Linked DNA regions of Arabidopsis thaliana. The protein of the gene in region 2 interacts with the protein of the main gene of each other region in a biochemical or structural test. Each region holds a gene or a part of one and is shown on either strand. Other genes may lie near its edges. The genes, in order: AT4G20790, AT5G62710 and AT3G03770.

Region 1 (3,808 bases), on a different chromosome or scaffold from region 2:
AGTAGCAAATCCACCGGCCGACCATGGAGACGCAGGATTCATCGTCCCCTGAAAAAACGAAAACAGAGTCATCGTCTCCATCGTTATTTGTTGGCCGTACACTCAATTTCATAAACTGTAAAGCTTCTTATGATAACTCATACCTTCCATCTCGACAGATTTTGACAATGTGTGTATGATTTTCGAAGTGACGAGGGTTTATCTTCTTTTGACAATGACGACTTCAGAGAAGATGTCGACGACGAGAGAAGTTTATGTTCAACGAGGGTTTAGGAGATAAGTTTATGTTTGGTTTCAATGTCTTGAGGACAAATGGGTTTGAGTTTTGTGATATTAGCCCATGACAAATCTTGAATTTTGAATGATATTGGGCTGGTTTGAATTTGGCCCATTAGTTTTCATCAAAACACAAGAGGGGTAAAACGGTCTTTGACTATTTGCTGTATTAGAGGAGGGCTGTATTAGAGAGGACAGAAGAAACTACCCTATCAGCCTATTTTTAAAAAAACTGTCTAGTTCTCAAATTATTTCCCTAAAAACTGCCTAGTTCTCAACTTATCTCAAATGACTATTCCTCTCACTTTTTGAGTTAGTGCTCATGGAAGTAGCATTTAGCTTCTGTTGAATTCACCTTTTAATGCGTTGCATTAGTGTAAAATTCTCTAACAATTAAGAAGCCTGAGTAAGTTTGCAATAAATTTTATTTTCTTTATCAAAAGTTTACCTTTTAGCTCCTGTTGAATTTCCATTTTTTTAAAGATTCATTAAGACAATAACTATTATTTTTATATATTTTTATTATTCTTAATTAAGAAAATACAAAAAATTATAAAATATGTTAATAACAAAATAATAAACAATACAACATAGGAAACTATACCAATTAAAGAAATTAAATGCATATAGATTAGATGAATAAAAATAGAAATGTAGAAAATTAAAAATTATATATATGATTCTATAAATCTAAATTTTAAATTAGGCATATTAATTTGGTAAAATTGCAGAAATATAAAGTTCATTGGATATAAAGTGAAACTATTGAAGATTTTATTGATAGTAGTTTATATAATTCAATTCAATTCTCAAACAAAAATTATATTTAACATTGAGCACATTTACCAAATAATTATCGACTCAAATTCACCCACGTAGATGTTTGTTGCGCAAGAAAGAGAAAAAGTTTAGAACAAGATAAATAGACCAAAGAGACAAGAAATATATGAAAGGAATTCGAGGCACAATCTTACAAATACAAGCAAAACCATTCTAGATAATTTTTTACCAACTGACATAAACACATTATTATGTGTTCAATGACAACGAAAATGATAATTAAACATTGAAATTTGTTTTCATAGTGGAGCTATTGTAAAAAGTGTAGATATTCACAAAATTTAAAAAACTTCACAATTATTATTATTTTAATAATCTTCAACTTCCAAGCACACGATCACTAAAAGGAAAATGGGCGCGTAAATCTCATCCCACTCTGTTTCAAAATAACCGCCAACAACAACAACACCTCCAATAACACAGAAACTACCTCTCTGCTTCTCTCTCTAATCTCACCCATACACGAAACCAAATAACGAAACCTATTTGCTCTCTATCTCTCCAATGGCGTCTTCTCTGTTCTTCATCTTCTTCCTCACGTCACTACTATCATCCTATCTTCCTCTCTCAGTATTCTCCGCAACCGTCGTCGAAGACCTCGCTAATCTAAGTCCACCTCCTGATTTCAACACCACTATTTCCAACAACTGTCTTCGTGATCCAATGCTCCGTTACTGCAACAACACTTCCTCTTCTCCAATGGACATTGTCGAGATTTTCAGATCCACAATCGTCGCTAGTCATCTCTGTAACGAGTCCAAAAACCCTAACTGCGTTGAATCTTTCCCTAGAATCAGAATTCACGGTCGTCCTAAAACCGCTGCTCTTTACCTCTCTTTCGATTTCTTCTGGAAGTACTGTCCTTTAACCGTCGTTGATATCGAGTTAGTGAATAACTCTCTAACGAATGGTTTTCCGACAAATGTTCTGTCTTGTGCTCAGATTCGTACTCTTGATCTGAGTTACAACCAATTCTCTGGTTTTGTTCCGGTTCAAGATCTCTCAGGCTTACCCAATCTGACCCATTTGAACCTATCGTATAACCGATTCTCCGAGAATAAGATCTCGGATTCTGAGTTCTTCAAACGGTTTAACGCCTCTAGTTTCATACAGTCCGGTGTTCTTCCCAACGTGAAGCGTTACAAGATGAAAGTTTTGGTCTTGTTGATTGTTTTTCCAATAATGGTGATTTTGCTCTGTTTTTGCTTTGGCTGGTTATGTGTCAAGAGACCTGATTACTTACCAAGAACATGCCGGAGAAGAAACAAGTTCACATTCGCGATGCTTGAAGCAGCAACGGATGAGTTTTCAGATCAACATCTTGTGAGCATGAGCAATACAGTGGATATCTACAAAGGAACGTTAAGAGACGGGACAGAGACGAAGATCGAGGTTTATAAAGAGAAGGTTTCGAGTGAGAAAAGGCGTGAATTCGCAGAGGTATGCGAGATGGTTTTTAAGTTACGACACAAGAACTTGGTAAGAGTGTTGGGTTGGTGTAATAGTAGAAACATGAGAGCTTTGGTTACAGAATGGATTCAAGGTGAAAATGTTGAGACTTGGTTAAGTTCGTCAATGGCTTTATCATGGAGAAGAAGGTTAAGAGTAGTTCTAGGAGTTGTAGAAGGTATTTGTTATCTATCAGATCAATGGCCAGAGATTACATTTGATCTCACCACAAGCAGTGTTTTGTTATCCGATGATAATCAAGAACCTTTGATTTCTCATTTCAAGATTGGAGATAGAAACAACTTGTCAACAAGTAAGGCTTCATCTTCTTCTTGCAAAAATCAAAACCTTTTTAAGGCTATAAAAGCTAAGTCTGTTGTTGTTGTTGTTGTTGTGTTATTACAGATATATTCAACTTTGGATTGTTTTTTGTGGAGATGATTACAAATCTAAGACCTGATTTGGGACAAGAAGATTCAGAAAGAAGGTATCTTGAGTATATAAGAGTTCATTATCCGGATAATCTAGAGAGAGTGATTGATGAGAAGATGAAGATTGAGGGGAGAACATTTGATCAAGTTAAGCAAGCCATTACGCTAGGACTGATGTGTACTGATATAATACCACCATTAAAGCAACCAAGCTTGACGCAGATTTATGACTTGGTGAGTTCATTGTATGAGTCTAGTTCACGACATCATTGAAATACCTTGTAAAGCTTTATTGGTTTCTTTTGATTTTCAGACATCTGGTGTTAGATAGTATTGTAAGGATTAAAGACATATTTGTGTGTTTTTTCTTTGATTACTATAAGTACTGAGAGAATTTGCAGAAAATGAGTACTTAATTTGCAGACATGAAATCTGTAAATGGGCTTCATTTCTGCAAATGGGCTTTATTAGCTGAAATGGGTTTCATAGTTTTATGGGTTCTCAAATGACCCGACCCGGGTTGGAAGATATAGAAACTATACACTGGTTGGCAAATGGGAACGTTCGATTAAAAATTCGGTAACTACTACGACGTGACTTGTCTCTTCTCCGTTGAAAAGCCATCGACAGTTATGTATGAGTGTATCATTTATCAACTTGAAAGCAATTTCAGTTTTTAAAATAATCCAAATACTAATAAACCAGAAATTAACCCATCATCAAAGCATTAATAATCTTCATTACCATTTGAAACCGAAACTTGTATCACAATTAAATAACGATCATAAAATTAGACGTTTTTTTTTCTCTAT
Region 2 (5,974 bases):
CTCACTATGTCACTAAGAATCGAATTTTTCAAGAGTTACGAATATCTTCAAAAGGTTCTAACTTCTATCGATATCAATGCTCTTGTACATCTATGTAAAATTTTATATAATCAATTACTACTATACGATATATGTATATAGTGTATCGTATAGGGTAGGGTTTAAATATAAAATATGTATAAACTATGGATGCATTAAACCATATATATATGAAAAATGATTTTATAGATATATACGTACGTGTAGGAAACTAGCAAAGCACATAGGGCAGAAAAGCGTTGGCCTTTTAAGAGGTGGATGGGGTTTTGATGATGGTCGAAGTCTCTTCCATTAAACGAAAGGTCATTTGATTATTCAGAAGATAATATTAAAATGTTCCAGAAGAAAAATCAAGAAATTATCAACTCTTTTTTTTATCAACTCTCAAGTCTTTGACAGAAAAAAAAAAAAAAAAAAACTTGTTTGTAACTATAAAAAGAAGATGTTTTTTTTTTAATATCAGTTTCCAAATTATAAGATTTATAGAGAAATAACACTTTCATAAATAAAAATAGCTAATTATTCAGAAAGATGAAAGTTTTGTAGCAACGTTTGTGCATTGAGAGTCTTCTACTTTCAGGTTTGTAAAACATAGGACCAGCTTTAGTAGAGCTAAGCAATGTACGCTACAAAACGTAAGAAAGAAGCCTAACGACATTAACATCGATAATTCGTATGTGTGTCTTCCCTTTGAAAGAGTCATAGTACAATGCATACGCAATAACATCGATCATTTTGTTGCAAAAATATAAAGTGCACAAGAACAGTGCACGCTCAATAATCTTGACTCCACCTTCATATCTAATATACAAACAAATCCCTCGCTCCTAAATCACAACATTCATAACGCAGCAGCAACAACAACAAAACCGTCGCAGGCTAATGATCTCCTGGTTACTTTTAGCCGTGCATAAGTCCCTAACAGTAATCAGAATGAGAATCATCGTAGTAATCGATACCAGAAGAAGGTGACATGACTTCTTGCTCAAGCAACTGAGCCACCTGGTTCATAGCCGGCCTGTTCTCCGGGTTAGCATCTGTACATCTCTCAGCTATCTCGAGCAATGCCTCAACAGACTCTTCGTCGACATCGGTGCATCTCTTGTCTATTACATCCTCTAATCGATTCTCTTTCAACACAGTGTTCATCTGAGAGAAATAACACTTTATTAGAACCCAAATCTTAGGAAGTAAAAACAGAACGTTTCTTCTCGGAGACAAGATTTGAGGTGTCTTCTTACCCATCCGACGACGTTCAAGCCTCTTTTAACGAATATCGGGTCTGTTGGTCTTTTTCCGGTAACGAGCTCAAGGAGAAGAACTCCAAAGCTGTACACATCAGACTTCTCCGTCGCTCTCCCATTTTGCAGATACTCTGTTTCCAAGATTCATCAAAGAGTTAGAAACTTTAAAAATTATTGTCCAAGATTCAAAAAAGAAGTTAGCAAAGAAGAGAACCTGGAGCAAGATAGCCAAAGGTGCCAGCTACCACGGTGGTAACATGAGCATCTTCGTCAACAAGAAGCTTTGCAAGACCAAAGTCCGAGACTCGAGGTTCTAGTTTATCATTGAGTAGAATATTGCTCGATTTTATGTCACGGTGAACAATTTTGGGACTACAATCATGGTGTAGATAAGCAAGACCCCTCGCGGAACCTAGCGCAATTTTCAACCGAGCATTCCAGTTCAACAAACCGTCTTCTTGAGCTCGTTCTTGATAGATAAAGAAACCAAAAAATAGATTAATATGACGCATCACAGACCAAAATGAAGATAAACTATGTATAACTGTATTTACCGTGAAGAAGATCGTCTAAGCTTCCTAAGGTTAGATAATCATAGATGAGAAGTCTTGAAGATGGTAAACGGCAGTATCCACGTAGGTTCACTAGATTGATGTGTTTGACACTACCTAAAATCTCTACTTCTCGCTCAAAAACTCGGTCTGATCCTTGTCGACTCCTATCTATCTTTTTAACCGCAAAGGTTCCAAGATCGTTCATAACCATTCGATAAACCGTGCCAAATCCTCCCGAACCCACAATGTCTTCCTCGTCAAGAGACTCTAGCTTCTCAATCAGCTCAGTTGAAGAGTATGGAAGATCACCATGGAAAGTAATCAGCTTTTTACCTTTTTTTAAAGACAAATGAAGAAACGGAATTTAGAAAAATGATAAGCAGGAAGAAAAGAAAACTAGTTTTTCTCTTTTATGCAAATGTTATACTTGTTTCGGATGGATCCTTTTGTTTCTTGACTTCTGTGTACTTCTTTACTTTTCTTTCCTTCTTTGAGAGCATCCAAATCCATAGGAAAACAAAGATCACGATGAATGCAAGAGCCATTGTAGACATTGCGCCGATCAAGATTCCTTTAATCAAGCGTGATGATCGCTTTGGAGAATCTGTGTGGATTGCAAAAGAGAAATCAAGAATCAGAAAGTTTAGTCAAGGAGCCTCAAGACGTGATGATTGGCTTTAATAATAAGATCTTGCCTGATTCATCAGCACTTTCTGCATGAGGAAGAACAACAGGGAAACCCATTGATGATCTACATGGCTTGCGAATTTGCCGGCCACAGAGATCCAAATTACCAGTGAAACTAACCATAAAGACAGAAAACAACTATCAGAAAATAACATCCTAGTCTAACATAAGCAAGAAAGTTTTTCTTAAGTTCTTGATGATGTTCAAACAACTAGTTATAATTATATAGAAGAGAAATCTCACGTTTCGACCCCGAATCTGCTGAGAACTCCAATATCCGGTATTTCACCAGAGAAAAAGTTGGTTGACAAGTTCCTGAATCAAACAAAGAGTAAATACATTAAACTGACACATCTTGCACAACTACATCTAAACACGAGATTCTGTTTGTAACTTACAAGGAGCGTAACCGCGTCAATCGACTAATTGAAGAAGGAATAGCACCCTTGAGTGTATTGCTTGATAGATCCCTGAAGATATCCCAAACATCAGAAATTCTTGAAAATGATCATATTGGAAAAGAAGTAAAAAAAAAAAAAAAAAATTGAATCTTACAATATAGTAAGAAATGTAAGGTTGCCTAAATCCGGTGGAATCCCGCCTTGGAGAAAATTCGCCCTCAAGTACCTGAAAGCATGTTTAACCAGATATATATTTATGGCTCAACACTAACCAAAGGCTTGATATTCCCAATTGCAAAATTCTGGCTTACATAGCTCTTAGCTCAGTGCAGTTGGTGATTTCATTAGGAATGTTCCCATGTAAGCTATTCTGATGAAGTGCCCTACATAACTCCCACCAAACTTGAATTAAACAAACTACTTAAAGAGACCAAAATTTAGCATAAGAGCCAAATCTACTACTCACAGTCTCTGCAATCGACTAAGCTTCCCAATGCTAGGAGATATTATCCCTCCTAATTGCATATATGGTAAGTTTCTGCATAATCCACATAAGAAGAACATAATCAGGTAAAGAAATAATCGAAAGATTGAGACTTTATCAACGAAGAAGAGCATATTTTTACATAGAAACAACTCTTTGGTCTTGAGGATTACAGGAGACACCAGTCCAAGAACAAGGAGACTCATCTGAATCTTTCCAGTTCTCTAGTGAGTTCCTCGTATCATTAAATCCACTCTTCAATTCCAATAGAGCAAATCCTACAAACATCAAAATCTCAGATTTCTCACCAACCAAAAAAGCAAAGATTTATGAGTAAAGTGGGTTTTGACTAACCATCAAGAGTGAGAGCAAAGGAGCAGGAGACAAAAAGGGTAGCTACAGAAATTACAGAGAAAACCCAATTCGAGATACCCATTTCACTGATTCCACCGATTCCAAAAGAGAAAGTTCTTAAGGTTCCAAAGACGAAAATATGAGATTTTTTCAACCCAAATAGAGTGACCTAATTCGAGAATGGAGAGAGGTTAGTAGTGATTGGGTATGACCGTATGAGTAAGAGGAGGAAGACTCATGATGAAAAATCTTTACTTTTGTTTTTCCTAAAAAGAATTCTTTAATTTATCATTTTTTTGGTTTTATTATTTTGTTTTTCCCTCTTCTTTTCGAGCTAAGTGAAAGGAGTGGTTTTTCAAAATCTGTACCCTTGGAGACTGGTGCAGAGGAGAGAGAGAGAGCGACCCGTTGCGAGGAGACATAATTCAAATATATCTGTGCCTATAAAAACACTCGCGACTATGGTTCTAAAATCTACTCGCTGTTATTTAAGTCACAAAATACACGTGTCTTTCACAGAAAGCGAGTAATTTAGAGATTGTACTTGAGACGCGAGTGAAAGTTACGAAACTGTGTCGTTTTTGTATTTACTTTGTCTGAGAGATCTGTAAAATAATGTGTAATCTGACAAAATTTACAAGAGTATTAACACTAATGTCGTCCCTATTTATTTCCAAAAGTAAAATACTTCGTAGCAACAATATTTATTACATCAAAAGTAAATTTCTTATCTGTTTTATCTCGAAGAGTGTAATTTAGTCACCACGAAAATGGGCCGAGCTCTTAAAAATAAATGAAGAAATCCAAAGCCCAAAGGTTAGTCAATCATAAGCCCAAAGGTTAGTCAATCATAAGCCCAAAGTCTTTAACGAGATTAGGAACAATACAGTCAATAATAGCTTAAACGAAGATTCAAACTAAAGACCGAACCAAATTTAAAAACAAAGTACATAAACATCATCCAGATAAGTCAAATACAAGCATAGAAATAAACCTGCAACTGGTAGTTGAGGTTCTCATTTTTTTTTTTAAGAAAAAAAGTAGCAAACGACTAAATTGATTTTTTCAAGCGGTTTTTATAACTAAATTACTCTCAGTACTCTTCTTCCTGTTGGTATTCACCTTCTTCCTCATCCTCGTAGTCACCTTCTTCATCAGCCGTTGCATCTTGGTATTGCTGGTACTCTGACACAAGATCGTTCATGTTGCTCTCTGCTTCTGTGAACTCCATCTCGTCCATTCCCTCACCTGTGTACCAATGCAAGAAAGCCTTCCTCCTGAACATAGCTGTGAACTGCTCACTCACTCGCCTGAACATCTCTTGGATCGATGTTGAGTTTCCAATGAAAGTGGAAGCCATCTTCAGACCAGTAGGTGGGATATCACAGACTGTTGATTTCACGTTGTTGGGGATCCACTCCACAAAGTAGGACGAGTTCTTGTTCTGAACATTCAGCATCTGCTCGTCAACTTCCTTTGTGCTCATCTTGCCACGGAACATGGCAGAGGCTGTGAGGTAGCGTCCGTGCCTTGGGTCTGCAGCACACATCATGTTCTTGGAGTCCCACATTTGCTGGGTGAGCTCAGGGACTGTGAGGGAGCGGTACTGCTGTGAACCTCTTGAGGTGAGAGGAGCAAAACCAACCATGAAGAAGTGAAGACGAGGGAATGGGATGAGATTCACAGCAAGCTTACGGAGGTCAGAGTTGAGTTGACCAGGGAACCTCAGACAGCAAGTCACACCAGACATAGTGGCAGATATCAAATGGTTCAAATCACCAACTGCACACAGAGAATGAACCAAGTATGTAAGCCATATAGACACATACAACAAACAACATGATGAGCATAGCAACATATCTTGCAGAAACAAGTATATTATAAAGAAGACAGTATACTTTCACAAATCGATAGTCATCAATGAATTCATATCCCATATGTAACAGCAAGCAACATATAAGATTAAACTAGAAAGTACTTGCAGCTTCACCGGAAAGTTTTGTTCCAATAAGATTAAAGAGCAGCTTAAGGATTTATAGTGATGAGCTCAACATTGATAAACCAATAGCACACAAGACAAGAGGATATAGACATGAACAAACCACTAGAAACAGTGACAAAACAGTAAGTTATATATAGAGAAAACTTGCAGATCTGAATTTGATACCAATTATTAACATAATCACCATCTAGACATAGCATTTTAAGCAT
Region 3 (6,688 bases), on a different chromosome or scaffold from region 2:
AGGATTAGTTTGAGGATGCGGTTGATAAATTAGCAAATGATCACTTCACAATTACGACATACCTAACAAAAACCACAATAAATCTTAATGTTGAACAAACCATCTAACCTAATTTATTACACCGCAAGACGAAAATGACACACACACACACACTCCTCTAGGCTCTAACGTACGTCTTAATTAAGTATTTGCTTTCGCTTTCTACAAATCACTTTAATGTAGTGTATATATATTTATGTGATAAAAACAGAATAATGTAACATATGAATGCATGATAGTAATCAAGAAAAAAACATAAAATAGTCGTATAAATGTATTTCTATGAAATAATCTCAAATTACTTCACTTAGCCAATAAATTTTCATAATATATTAATTTTATAGTTGCCAGTCGATCAATTTTCACTACCAGTTAAAATAGTCGTATAAATGTATTTCTAGCCGTTATTAATTTTCTTTTCGTCTACCAAATTAAAGATCAATCTTTTTTTGTTAAGGAAAAAGAAATCGAAATTGGAAATTACCACGTTCTATTTCGTATTGTTTAAAGTTGGCTAGTCGATTATAAGCTGCACCAACAATTTTTAGTTTTATTTAAACTATGATTGTATACGACGACATTGACTATTGAGACATGCAACCAACAGATACAAAACAAAACTAACCAAAAAATGAAACACGCAAAATGAAGGAAAAAAATAAGATAAATTAAAATTAAATATTTATTCCTAAACGATGCACAGAAAAATCTAACAGAAGAAGATGCTTATATAAAACCAGGTGGACTAAAATTTCACAGAATTTTGTTTTCTTATGTTTGTAAGCATTTACTTTACTTGTTTTCTTATACCTGCAACTATGAATCATATTAAAAAAAACTACAAGATTAATAAAAAGATGAATCACTCATGGCACGTGAGAGTAGTCAAGAGATTAAGACATCATGCCTTAGTTTCAATTTAATATGATTAAATACACGAGTTTAGTTTAAATTGTTTGTTAATTTGATTTCCAATTCCTTGCATGTTATTCTTTATTGATCATATTATATGTGAGCTAATTTGTTGTATTAAGATTGTTTTCTTGAACTTTGAAAAGGTCGGAGAAGATTGGGACCTACATGTGTCACTTTAAAAGTCTGGTGTGACCTTTCTGATGGAGATGCCTTCGTGCGAAAGCTTACATTACAGTATGTGTCACAACTTCGCTTTCTTTTTATTTTCACCTTAAATATATATATTACCTCTTTCAGATTTAAGTTTTTGGATGGATCTTTTTTTTTTCTTTCAGTTTGGTTTTAAGCCTAGTTTTTGATAAAATTCCGGTGTAGTTGTTGTGGTTTTTATGTTTAGTTTGTTTTCAGCTTTCTTACATGATCAAAATTCAAAACAAAATTAGAGTTACACTAATTTACTTGGTTTTGTTTACTCATTCTTGATTAATCTTGTTTAACTTAGCATACCCAATTAATTGATAGACAGACTTTTCTCAATCAAATTAATATTCATATAAGAAACTTTAAAAAAATATCAAAATTAAATCTATACTATATAAAGACTTGTTTGCCTCAGACTCGTATTTGTAGATCATCCCCCTAAAGGCCTAAACCCTAAAAGAATATTTCTCTTATCATTACCTTTTTATCTTTCTTTTTTTTTTTGTCTTTTTACTTTTTCTTGGCCACAGCTTTGGCTGGAGTGGATTTCTCTTTGGTCCCTATTTTTTTGAAAGTGATAATATAATATGAACATATTTAATGCTGATAAAATAATTTACTTTGTGTACTGTATAAATAGTGAGACAACCAAAAATAAAAAGATCAGAAAAAAACGTCGGCCAGACCCTGTTGGATTCGCTTTTTTTTTTTTCTTTTTTAATTTGTTAAAAATGCATGTGAACACTTACAAGATTATTTTTTGGACAAAAAAATTCTATTTCTATTTTGTTTGTTTGTTTTAAAATTATTTTTGTAAAAAGAATTTATCGTTGTCTTCATCTCGTGATGGAGACTTAGAGAGGAGGACCAAACTCTCTGTCGTTAGCCACTGACAATTTACTAAATCGTATGGTTGCTAAAATGTTTTTGCATTGATTTTACAGAATTTGTTTTTGTTTATTGTCTATTTAAAAAATAAAAAAAGTTTGTTGGGTTAATATTGTTCCCAGAGTATCCTCTGTTTTATTCTTATAAGATATAATAATCACTCGTGAAGGAATCTTGAATGTTTTTAAAGCTCCTTGAGGAACTTTCATCTCTTACAGAGGATTTTCTTGGGAACTTTTCTCACTTTCTTCTTTAAATCAAGTTGCTACTTTTTTTGTTTCTTTAGATAAAATCGATATTCCATTCACAGTTACTTCATAAGTTTGCAGAGGTATTTCTTCATCTCAAAGGAAACGATTTGTCTTTTCATTTTCTCATTCTTCTTACTCTGATGAAACCAAATTTTGTTTCCAGGAAAAATAAAATTTAATCTCTTGTGCTCAAAAGTTTCCTGCATCTTTTCTTCTTGCAAGGTGTCTTAAAGAGGAGATTCTGTAACACATGTGGTGAGTTCTTCCTGTTTTTCTGGAATTCACATGCAAAAATCATATTTTTTTAGTTTGAAGATTGATTTCTAAGATTCTCTTCTGTTTAATGCATTAACGAGAAAGTGGTTAAAATATCAAGATCTTGAGAGTGGACCCTGTTTTGTAAGTACATTATATATAAATGTGATTCTTGAATGAAATGTGTCTCTCTCTTTGCAGGTTTTGATGATGATGCTTATATGATTTTATTTAGTAGTTGTGTGTGTTTTATGGTCTTGTGTGGCTATGGAGAAACTCTATTGTGGCATGCCGTTACTGCTTCTGGTTCTGCTTTTAGCTTCCATTGATGGCTCTACACAGCTACAATCATCTCAATCTCAAACCCTCTTGAGGCTGCAACAGCTTCTCTACTATCCCAAAGTGTTAAACAGCTGGAACAACTATACAGATTTCTGCAATTCTGAGCCAAGCCCTTCGCTAACCGTTGTGTGTTATGAAGATAGTGTAACGCAGCTTCACATTATAGGAGACAATGGAACTCATATGTTACCAAAGAGTTTCTCAATAAACTCGTTTGTTACTACTCTTGTTAAGCTCCCTGATGTTAAAGTTCTCACGTTTGTGTCCCTTGGGTTATGGGGTTGGTTACCTCAGAAAATCAACCGTTTATCCTCTTTGGAGATTCTCAATGTGAGTTCCAATTTCCTCTTTGGACCAATCCCTCATGAACTCTCGTCGCTTGCTACTCTTCAGACGCTTATACTCGACGAGAATATGTTTTCTGGTGAGTTACCGGATTGGATTGATTCTTTGCCGAGTTTAGCTGTGTTGAGCTTGAGAAAGAACGTGCTTAATGGGTCATTGCCTTCTTCTTTGAGTAGCTTGTCAGGTCTTAGAGTTCTTGCTTTAGCTAATAACCGGTTTAATGGAGCTTTGCCTGATTTAAGCCATTTGACAAACCTTCAAGTGCTTGATCTTGAAGGAAACTCTTTTGGACCGTTGTTTCCTCGGTTAAGTAACAAGCTGGTTACTCTTATACTCAGCAAGAACAAGTTTAGATCTGCAGTTTCAGCTGAAGAAGTAAGTTCTCTGTATCAGCTTCAACATTTGGATCTTTCCTACAATACATTCGTTGGTCCATTTCCTACTTCCTTGATGTCTCTTCCCGCGATAACTTACTTGAACATTTCACACAACAAACTCACCGGGCGGCTTTCAGCAAATCTTTCTTGCAACTCACAGCTGATGTTTGTAGATATGTCATCAAATCTTCTTACCGGAAGTTTGCCTACTTGCCTTAAACCGAGTTCCGGCACTAGCAGAGATGTTGTCTATGCAAGCAACTGTTTGGCTACTACGAATGAAGATCAACGTCCAGTTTCTTTTTGTAGTAATGAAGCTCTTGCTGTTGGAATCCTACCACAGAGGAGGAACAAAGTTTCCAAAGTGGGTATTGCTTTAGGTGTAACCGCAAGCATTCTCGGGGTACTTCTCCTCGCCGGTGCCTTATTTGTGGTTCTTAGGAGATTAAATGCTAAGAAAACAGTGACGAAATCTTCCCCAAGATTGATTAGAGAGAATGCTTCAATGGGGTACACATCGAAACTACTATCAGATGCAAGTAAGAGGATAAAATATCTCTCACATATTGTCACATAGATTACATAGAACTTGTCTTCATTGATAACTTGTGCTGTAACTGCAATACTTTGAAGGGTATATCTCTCAAACAATGAAGCTAGGAGGGCTCGGTCTTCCAGCTTACAGGACATTCTCACTGGAGGAGCTCGAGTATGCAACAAATAACTTTGAATCCTCTGCTTTCATGGGTGAAGGTTCTCAAGGACAGGTACAGCAGTGAAGCTTCAATCTTTCTTTAGCTAGTTTCCATTTTTTGAACAGTTGAATCAAACAAGATTTTTGTTTTCATTGTTCTTTTCAGATTTATAGAGGGAGATTGAAAGATGGATCCTTTGTGGCAATTAGGTGTCTGAAAATGAAGAAAAGTTGCAGCACACAAAACTTGATGCATCACATTGAGCTCATCGCTAAACTGCGGCACCGTCACTTGGTTAGTGTGCTCGGGCACTGCTTCGAGTGCTACTTGGATGATTCAACAGTCAGCAGAATGTTCTTTGTCTTTGAGTATGTCCCAAATGGAGAACTCAGGACCTGGATTTCTGGTACCACACTGAAACATCATGTGTTTTAAGAATGAAGATGATCATTATATATTTTTTAATAACTAAATCGGATTGTTCTTGTCTCTGCTGTGCTAGATGGGCACATGGGAAGATTGCTTACTTGGGAACAACGCATAAGCGTAGCGATAGGTGTAGCAAAAGGGATCCAGTTCTTGCATACCGGTATTGTGCCTGGTGTTTATGATAACAACCTTAAAATGACAGACATTTTGCTTGACAATAACCTTGCGGCGAAACTCAGTAGCTATAATCTTCCATTGCTTGTGGAAGGTCTTGGAAAGGTAAATGACGATGTCAAAAGTTCGAATGTTTTTGTTTCTTGAATTTTGAATCTCTTTTGCTTTCCTTTCTAAGGTGGGGCAAGTAGGATCTCGGAGCGGACCTAAAGGCACTCCAAGGTGTGTAATAATCTTCTTTACTCTGTTTCTCATCAGCTTGTAAACCCGGTTATATGGTTTAATCCTCTGTTTCTCAAAAGAATCAAAAACGGTTTATATGGTTTAATCCTCTGTTTCTCATCAGCTTGTAAACCGGTTTATATGGTTTAATCCTCTGTTTCTTAACAGCATCAAAGACGAAGATAAAATCGATATCTATGATTTTGGAGTGATATTGCTTGAACTTATAGTGGGAAGACCATTGAGAGCAAAGAGTCAAGTCGATGTTCTAAAAGAGCAGGTAACACCATTCGATATATATGTAGCTTGATGTGGAATCGCTATCATCTACTTTAAAAACTCTTTTTTATTTGTTGTAGTTACAAGCAAGCATTTCAGCGGATGATGGAGCACGTAGGAGCATGGTGGATCCAACGGTCCATAGAGCTTGTTCAGACCAATCACTGAAGACAATGATGGAGATATGTGTAAGGTGTCTCCTTAAAGACCCTTTAGAACGTCCTTCCATTGAAGATGTCCTGTGGAATCTTCAGTTTGCTTCTCAAGTTCAAGAAGGTTGGCTACAAAACAGCAATCCCTCGAGCAATCTCGGCTCGCCTTCTCCTGCTGCTTCCTCTCTTCCTCCTCCCTCTCGTTTACACGTAACAACACTCGAATCTCCCCGAGATTCAGGTATTTTTGAACTCGATCTTTTATGATCAATTGATTCAGTTCAGAATAGAATTTGATTGTTAAAGATTTGAGATTGAATAAGTTTATTGATCTGAGACTTATTTGTGTGGTTGTAATTGCAGGATGTGAAGAACATGAGAGGTAGAGAGACGAGGGTTTTTGTTTGGTCTTGTTCACTGATCACTACTCTTTGGAAAGAACATAACCTTTTTGTTTGTAATTTGATGTTTGTTTTTGTTTTTTTGTCTTTAGTTGTGTTGAGCTTAAACGATCATAACAGTTAATAATATAGTTAATTTTTCTTATAAACTTTACTTAAAAGAACAGTGTCGGTTAATTTTTATTCTTCAAAAGGAATACAAGTCCAACAATGGTGAGATAATTTTGGAAAATTCAATCGTTTTTTCTTCCTGTTTTGTTCAGCGAAAATAAATTAAAATTGTATATAGAAATTGAGATGGAACCGATTTCTAGGGTTTAGAAAAGATTTGCTTGATTGATTCTTCTTGTCCAAGAAATCAAAATAGAGGATAATGGCTGGTGTTGGATCATCAAATCCTTTACTTATTTATTAATTTGGATTCGTATGTAAATTCAGTTAATTCCAACTAGTATGATAATTAACCAATAACTACATGCATATATCTCATTCAAATATTTCACGACAACTCTACATGTATAGTATACGTCTGCTGGATATACTTATTCTCTTTCTCAACATTATTATAAAAACGGAGATATATTTAAATTAAAGACAAACCCTAGGTAATACATTCATCTCCGGTGAAAATCCTCCGCCGGAAATATAACCTTCGAAGCCACCGCCGTCGATCCAACAGCCACCGAAAAATCAGCACCGCTCTCTTCCTCATCCTCATGCTGA

What was found.
Region 1: the proteins of AT5G62710 (region 2) and AT4G20790 form a complex in vitro, tested with the Arabidopsis thaliana proteins (one large-scale study listed by BioGRID).
Region 3: the proteins of AT5G62710 (region 2) and AT3G03770 form a complex in vitro, tested with the Arabidopsis thaliana proteins (one large-scale study listed by BioGRID).

What each region holds. Positions count from the first base shown.
Region 1 is NC_003075.7:11,134,236-11,138,043, reverse strand, and holds AT4G20790 (Leucine-rich repeat protein kinase family protein), read left to right. Parts: upstream 1-1,620; coding exon 1,621-2,878; intron 2,879-2,970; coding exon 2,971-3,269; downstream 3,270-3,808.
Region 2 is NC_003076.8:25,185,309-25,191,282, reverse strand, and holds AT5G62710 (Leucine-rich repeat protein kinase family protein), read right to left. Parts: upstream 4,063-5,974; 5' UTR 3,846-4,062; coding exon 3,764-3,845; intron 3,688-3,763; coding exon 3,552-3,687; intron 3,464-3,551; coding exon 3,392-3,463; intron 3,309-3,391; coding exon 3,237-3,308; intron 3,152-3,236; coding exon 3,080-3,151; intron 2,995-3,079; coding exon 2,923-2,994; intron 2,840-2,922; coding exon 2,768-2,839; intron 2,640-2,767; coding exon 2,533-2,639; intron 2,442-2,532; coding exon 2,265-2,441; intron 2,171-2,264; coding exon 1,838-2,170; intron 1,753-1,837; coding exon 1,498-1,752; intron 1,415-1,497; coding exon 1,281-1,414; intron 1,189-1,280; coding exon 958-1,188; 3' UTR 561-957; downstream 1-560. Other genes in the region: TUB3 (tubulin beta chain 3), read right to left, coding at 4,857-5,545.
Region 3 is NC_003074.8:944,565-951,252, reverse strand, and holds AT3G03770 (Leucine-rich repeat protein kinase family protein), read left to right. Parts: upstream 1-2,014; 5' UTR 2,015-2,374; exon of another isoform or gene 2,375-2,457; 5' UTR 2,458-2,549; intron 2,550-2,750; 5' UTR 2,751-2,816; coding exon 2,817-4,152; intron 4,153-4,246; coding exon 4,247-4,380; intron 4,381-4,473; coding exon 4,474-4,714; intron 4,715-4,810; coding exon 4,811-5,016; intron 5,017-5,089; coding exon 5,090-5,133; intron 5,134-5,301; coding exon 5,302-5,413; intron 5,414-5,492; coding exon 5,493-5,805; intron 5,806-5,927; coding exon 5,928-5,950; 3' UTR 5,951-6,176; downstream 6,177-6,688. Other genes in the region: LBD20 (LOB domain-containing protein 20), read right to left, coding at 6,580-6,688.